Linked DNA regions of Caenorhabditis elegans. The protein of the gene in region 1 purifies or fractionates together with the protein of each later gene. This does not show direct contact. Each region holds a gene or a part of one and is shown in the gene's direction. Other genes may lie near its edges.

Region 1 (3,754 bases):
CTGTCTTTGCTCACTCCGATTCTTTGAGATCCGGGGGAAATTAGTGGTTGACGTCCGCTCATGACCTTTTTTCGATGTTTTCCATTCTTTTTTAATCTGAAATATTGGGAATTTTAAAACTTAAGTAAGGGTAATCAAATGAAAATCACTTTTCAGTATCCTCTGGAGCTGAAAAAGTAAGGTAAGAAGTAGTTGGTGAGGCAATTTTGAATATTGATGCACGAATGAGACAACTGATATCAAGAAAGAGGTCAAACTGATAAGGCGTCAAAAAATAGAATCTCATCGAAAAAGGAAAACAATTTCTTTAAAACTTTACAGTACCTGTGAAATTTTAAAGGAGCATAGCTTTTTCCATTGAAAAGGTCCCGCAACGAAATTGGTACTGTGAATTTCAGAACTCCTCTTGGACAAATTCTTTTTGAATAAATCCTTGCTTTTTATTAAAAAATTGTTCCCTTTTGAGTATTTATTTCTGTTGAACTGGTAAAATATATTTAAATAAATATTAATTTAGTCAAATTGCAACTCTTTATTAGTGGAAGCGCCTTTCAAAAACCTGCTCGTATCGATTTCGTTGGCTAAAATGCGAAAAAAGTAAACAAAATTCCTATGAAGCCTAATTAGCGTCTGATAAAGTTTTTAACTTGATACGTTACTATTGTAAAAAGATTTTAAATTCTTTTTTATGTAAATTCGGAAAAAAATTTCCAATAGAGTGTTTGTCATCTGAATGATCATGCGAATGGTCATCCACCAACCGCTTCCGAAAAAATCGTCGAATTTCCCTGCCGCACTTTTGCAGTTTTCCTCACGCCCCTCACTCCGCCCACTTGGCATTCAGCCAACAAATACCCTCGAGGTGGTGAAAGTGCAGCTGGCACGATGCCAAGTAGGCGGTTTCTCTGCGTAGCGGCCGCGAAAGTGTGTGTCATGCGTGTGAGACGATACAGAAAGCGGTGTCCCAGTCTATGACTACTCTCTTCATTCTGCATACTCTCTCGCCACTGTCTGCACGCGTCTCGTGCAAAAGTGCGCTAGTAATTGCTCTTTTTCGTCGAAATGACGTCATTTTTTCGAATTTTGCAAATTGATTTTTCAGTAACAGGTAGAATTTGATTTCAGCTTTCTGCTTTTCTAATAAATTTCAATGTTTTATCGTGAAATTCTGAAGAAAATGGCATCCAAAGTGCATTATTTTGTTTTAAAACTTTTGAATTTTTTTAAATTCTTCATTTTTTATTTAAAAATTAAAAATTTTCTGTTAAAATCAACAATTTTCGTTTACAACACTTGCATTTAAACATTCCCTGCGCTCGCTTTTTGTTTAGTATTGCATTGCAGAATATTTAGAACATTGAATGCCATAAGTACTTTGTTTTTTCTTGATTATCTCTTCTTCCGTTTCATTTTTTCTGTATCTTATTCGTCTGCGCGTGATTCTTTTTTTGTAGAACCTAACAATTTTCTGGTCAGGTGGAATAAGTCTTATGACATTGAAAGAAACGCTGAAACTGAACGTTGTGTTGTTCAAACCAACAAATATTTTGTTTTTTTTTGTATTTAGGTGTTCGTTTTTGTTGTAATTCTTATTAGAGTTCGAATAGTTCACTGATTTTCCGAAACTTTAGACGCCTTCCTTGATTTTTTTATTATTCTTTTGAATGTATTTTCTGTGAAACTCGAATTTCTTACTACTCTTAAACCCAATTAACTTCTTATAATCATTTTTCATTTCAGTTTACACTCCAAGAGTGTCCCTGATACTTTAATATTCTCTTATTCTGTATTTGTGTGCTTGTTAATAACAAAAAGCACCCGGATAAGAAGATTGAAAAGTGTCGAACGTTCATTCCGTGAAGATGAAAAAAGCGGCAGATCGGCCGACTTCGGCGGTGAATGGTAGGCATGAATCGCCCGCTACGTCCACAAATAACACACAAAATAGTGGAACGCCCAGTTTGAATGGACAAGATCCACTGAGGTAAGCTATCATGAATTACATAAGTTAAAAAAAAACATTAAAATTCTTAATTTCAACTAAAACCTCTAATTTTGTTTTTTCCGTATCGATTATTTATTGTTTTTTAAATCTTTTAATTGGCAAAATCAAATTTTCAGCCAAAATAAAACAATTTTTCTGAAATTTCTTGAACTGCAACTACAAATTTTGAATTTTTTTTTTGATGAATTTGGTTATGAAAGTCGGTCTTTTTTAGGCCATTGTTAGTATATTACATCTTTAAACACTAATTTTTCCTGATAAATAAATAATCCAAATAGTTTCAGATCAACGTCATCATCACCTCTATTTGGCACAGAACCACTACCAGAAGATGATCATGCTTCATGTCCATACTGTCAACAAGATTTCCGTAAACCGCGAGTTCTTGATTGTCTTCATTCAATGTGCGAAGATTGTATTATTGCTCAACTTGATGGACACCTTCAAGCAAAGTCAGCTGCCATTGAAGAGAAGAAACGAGCGACTGCAGCAATGTTGGATTGTGAATTGGAAACACCGAAAGTTAAAGAACGACCAACACCTCCTGGCGTAATCCGATGTCCAATTTGTTCACAAGAATCGCATGTTGGAAATGATGTTCGATATGTTCATGCCATGCTCCTGGATTTTGTAAGTTGAATTTTTTTCTGAAACATAGTATTTTGGTCTTTTGATCTACCAAAAACATTACTAAACTTGGATTCAATGTTTTCAATATAATATTTCCAGGTTCGTCTTGCCGAAATGAAGGAAGTTGAAGTTGAGAAAATGGTTGCCCACCATCGCAAACCATGTACTGCCTGCAAATCCGAACAAGAAGCCATCGCATTCTGTGATCAATGCTCTTCAGATTTATGCGAAAACTGCACAACTGCTCATACTGTCATGAACCTTTTCCAAGGTCACACTGTAACCACATTTGCTGATCTTCGGCAGCCTGGAGCCCATCCAGAACTTCGTCAAGTCATGTGCTCCACTCATAATCAGCATATGAGATATTTGTGTGCAGCATGTGAAACAGCGGCTTGTAAGCAATGCCTGGAAGTTGATCATTTGAATCATAAAATCATTGATATCAACGAGCTTGTGATCAATGCTATAAGGGAAGATGTGACAAGTACTGTGGATCGTGTCGAAAAGAAATATAACAATTCTGTGGCTGATATGAATAGCCTTCCAGACAAGTCTCAACAGTTGAATGAACAGTATGAGATTGCGAAGTATCGAGTTGATAAACATTATGAGGAGTTACGCAATTCTATTGAGGTAGGGCATCAAAATTTAAATGTTTTGGAGTTAAAGGGAAAAATATATTAAAATTTCAGGAGGCCTATCAAAAAAGCGTGAACGATCTCGAAGAGGCGCGAATCCGTCAAGAGTCTAACATTGATGAAATGTACCGTAAATCACAAGTTAACGAAGCACGAGTACATGATGCCATCAACTTCACTCGCCGACTTCTTACCAAAGGAAATGGTCTCGAGTTGGTTGTTTCGAGGAAAAAAGTTATTCAACAATTTGGAAACTTGTCTCATGCTATTCCATCTCATGGACACCAAGTGGAACTTGAGTTTTATACTCCATCGAAAAAACAAATTGATCATTTTGTGCATCAACTAACTGGAACAGTTATCGGACGAGTGATTCAGCCAACTGTTAAAGACGTTGGAAATGCAACTGCAGCATCAACTGATAGAAGTGAAAGAGGAGGTTCTCAACCAGGAGGTGGAAGATCTAGCTCAGCAGCTA
Region 2 (3,754 bases), on another chromosome or scaffold:
TGAAATAATGAATAGCCATGCAATTATCTGAAAGTTAGTTTTAAAATTATACGTTTACTGAGCAATTCTTACTAGAAAGAAATCGATCAACATTGCGATGACGCATGCAAATTTTCCACCACAGCGAGCTTCATCGTCTGAAAATATTGTACATAAGTTCTCCTAGATCATTGTCATTTTGAACCTTTATACATAGTTTCTCTTGTTCCTCCAGTTGCAGTAAATCCGATGCATAAGAAGAAAAGTGAGAATAGTCCCATTAAAACTGCGATTACAATAAAGAAAACTTGAACCTTGTCAAGCCATGGCCAATCATTTATTTTCAGAGATCTTCTGACTTGCTCTGCAGTTGCATTAAATGCCCAGGACATCATAATTGCAAAGAGAATAACTCCAAGAATGCATAATAATGATCCAATAAGTGATGCATATGGTATTCGATGAAAACAGTCATCTTCTTCTGCGTCCGCATTCAAATGAACGACGGCGGCGTTCTGCGAACGTCTTTGCGCCGCCTCTTTCGTTGATCTTGACACTATTTTGACAGTTTGAAAAATATTATTTCAGATGAAAAATAAGAAACAAATGTAGCCGTGGAATAATTGTAATAAGCAAGTGCAAGCGGGCACCGGGGCAACAAAAAGGTATGTATGAGTGTGTTTGTTTGTATTGCGATCGAAATTGGAAACGGACGCGGAAAGGTGAGATAGTGGGTTGGGAACAAATTTAAATATTGAGACGCAGACAGCTCGCCACGGATGGTCAGTTTTAGCGGAGGAAAGCAGAAAGAGGAGAAGATGATGGTGAGTCATGTTTGCATGATCTTCGATGAGAATGTCGCAAGGTGCCATTTGAAAGTTGGAACAACTCATGTATGACGCAATTTTACATTTCCTCTGGGTGACTTGTGGTGTTATTTTCAATTTATTGAATCAGTAGGAAACACACACATTTTAAAATGAATGTGCATGCAATTGTGATGTACGATGAGCTGCAATCATGAACATCTGGGAAAAAGAGTTGAAGAATACAAAGGAGTCTGCTGCCGTTTCATTGAACACTTTTCAGCGGCACCTGCCAACCGGATATACATTGAGAATTTTTTTGAAAGTGGAAATATGAATATATACAGGTTACTGTTTTCTGAGAAATGGTTAAATTTTGTTAAAATTATATTCAGGAGTTCTTTTTTTCAAAGAACTTCTTAACTTTTTCATATATGGTGACATGGGTTTATCTATCACACAGCCTGAACGCGGTCTTCACAATTGATTTTTTGAGCATTTTTAGGTGGCATTAACTGTAGATGACCTCGTTTTCATCACCTCTCGCAAGCCCTTTTGAGTTTGAGAAAAGCTTATTGAGACTTATGTACTAATATCAAATATTATTCGCAGTAGAATTTGAGCGCTAAATAAATGAGTTGGTGTTTGTGCTCAGTTTACTTCACAATTTGCAAAAACGAAATACATATAAACACAGACTACACAAACTTGTTTGTCCCCTTTTTTACCAATTTGCTCGCCCTCTTATCTATGTCCTACGGTGTAAATTGGAAAACAGACTATCTTATCATTCTGAAAAACGATTTAACTTTAACATACATGTTACCTCATTTTTCTGCAGCGTTCTTCTTGAAAATGGCACGGTTTTTCCTTTTTTTGGCGTTTGTGGAAGTTAATTCTATTATTTCACCTCCTAATGAAATTATCGAAACATCTGTGGAAGTATTCAATCAGTGGAAAGAAACTAGAAATGCGTTTATGGATTCAATGGGTTAGTTTATTAATCGTTCCATCTAACCCTTCAAGTTCCGTGTTACAGAGTACCCAATGGGCTTTCCAAACTTCAATTGTCCCCAACCTCATCGAAAATCTTCCGAATCTGTACATCAGCTTCATCCATCACAAATTGGAGTGATAGCAGCACTAGGCGATTCTGTGTCAGTTGCACAAGCGGCGAAATCATCGTCAATTCTCGATTTATTTGATCAGTTTCCTGGTGTTTCGTTTGTAACAGGAGATGATGTAAAGCTGAATGAGCAAGCCACCTTTATTAGTAATAATTCGTTTTGACTTTCACTTACTTGCAACAGAAGCTTTTCAGATATTTTCCGTAAATTTGCACCGCGAATAAAAGGAGGATCCTCTGATTTTGTTCAAAAGTTTTACGACTTTAACATGGCGATTCCTGGCTCATTCAGCTCGGAGCTTCCCGAACAAGCGCTCAAATTAGCAAGTACATTGAAGAAAAAGCTGGGTAGAGAAACATCTGATACATGGAAATTCGTTAATATTTTCATCGGTCATAATGACTTGTGTAACATTTGCAATAATGAGGTAAAATAACCATTTCACATCGGAGCTAATTTTCATTTCCATTAAAAAATATTTCAGACTACCTTCGGGCCTGAAACATTTGGAAAGTCACTTCACTCGGCACTTACAATAATTCAAACAAATGTTCCAAAGGTATTCGTTAACATAATGCCACCAATAAATGTCAAAATTCACTCACAAGCTCACAAGTTGAGTAAGTTCTGCGAGTTTTCACATAGGTTTGTTTTTCAAAATTAAAAAAAAAATTAAACATATAATTACAGAAAAACATGCTCGTGTATTTTTGAATTAAATGAAAAAGAATATCAAAACATCAAGAAACAATTCGATGAACAATTGAATGAAGTTGTAGAACAATTCAATCAAAAATATGGAAATTCATCTACATTTGCTGTTGTGATTGCTCCAGCCATGGATCTAAAATCAATTCCGTTACTTAAAAACCAGCCGAATATTGGACTATTGGCACTCGATTGCTTCCATCTTTCTCCAATTGCTCATGATATTGCTGCGAAACAAATTTGGAAAGGATTGTTCGAACCAATTGATCAAAAAACAATCACTAATCAATTATCAGTTGGATTCGATAGATTCGTGTGTCCTCCTGTTGAATGTCCGTACCTAAGAACGATTCAAAACTCTGAAAACTGTGAGCCATCAAGAGAAATGAGATTTCTCCGAGTTCCTTCAGCTTTTGCAAGCTCTCCTGGTTTAAGCATGCCTCCATACATGATTCCTGTATTTTTCCTTTTTGGTGAGTTTGGTCTGGGAAAAAATACGTTGCTTATTTTTTTGTGAGGCGGCTTAGATTAAAAGCAGCTGCTATAATAATCAATAAAACCACTTTTCAAATATTTTCATTGGGAGAAAGTTTCCGTTTTCGCTTTTTCAGAGATAAGAGATATAAAATAAAGGGGCACCAATAAACATATTTTCTCAAAAACGCTAGACGCTAATTGCCTGCCCTCAAGGCACCTACGCCTGCGTCTTGTGTACTACCAAATTTGAACTTTTTCACTTTTGAAGATTATGTAAACATACTATAAGAAAAACGGTTTAAAAATATATCAAAAATACTCTGCACGGTGAAAAAATCTAACACCTGAGTTCAAGCTAAAGTTCAAGAAAAAAGGCATAGATGTAGGCAGGTAGATATTCTGTCACTTATGACTAAAAATATGTCTTAGCATTATTCAACTTTTTATATAAACCGAAAATATTTTGTTCCTAGGTACCGCTCTAATACTCCTATTTGTTCGTGCTTCCATCCGCAGTTCTACGACGTCTTCCGAGTTTTCCGATGAACGACATCATCTACTTCTTCCGCTGCGTGCCGACCTCAATGACAACATTTTCTAAATGGTTTCTAAAATGTACTCATGCCACTTGATGAGACAGTTGCGTGAACGATGAGA

What was found. The genes of interacting proteins can lie anywhere in the genome.
Region 2: the proteins of nhl-2 (region 1) and F13H8.11 fractionate together in Caenorhabditis elegans (co-fractionation; one large-scale study listed by BioGRID). This does not show direct contact.

Annotation. Positions count from the first base shown.
Region 1 is NC_003281.10:4,897,066-4,900,819, reverse strand, and holds the start of nhl-2 (B box-type domain-containing protein), read left to right. Parts: upstream 1-1,734; 5' UTR 1,735-1,862; coding exon 1,863-1,984; intron 1,985-2,289; coding exon 2,290-2,635; intron 2,636-2,734; coding exon 2,735-3,271; intron 3,272-3,330; coding exon 3,331-3,754. Other genes in the region: tag-340 (START domain-containing protein), read right to left, coding at 1-62.
Region 2 is NC_003280.10:6,257,842-6,261,595, reverse strand, and holds the start of F13H8.11 (Lipase_GDSL domain-containing protein), read left to right. Parts: upstream 1-1,574; 5' UTR 1,575-1,640; coding exon 1,641-1,776; intron 1,777-1,824; coding exon 1,825-2,058; intron 2,059-2,106; coding exon 2,107-2,339; intron 2,340-2,396; coding exon 2,397-2,557; intron 2,558-2,602; coding exon 2,603-3,093; intron 3,094-3,570; coding exon 3,571-3,698; 3' UTR 3,699-3,754. Other genes in the region: nmgp-1 (Neuronal Membrane GlycoProtein), read right to left, coding at 1-27, 73-137, 185-374.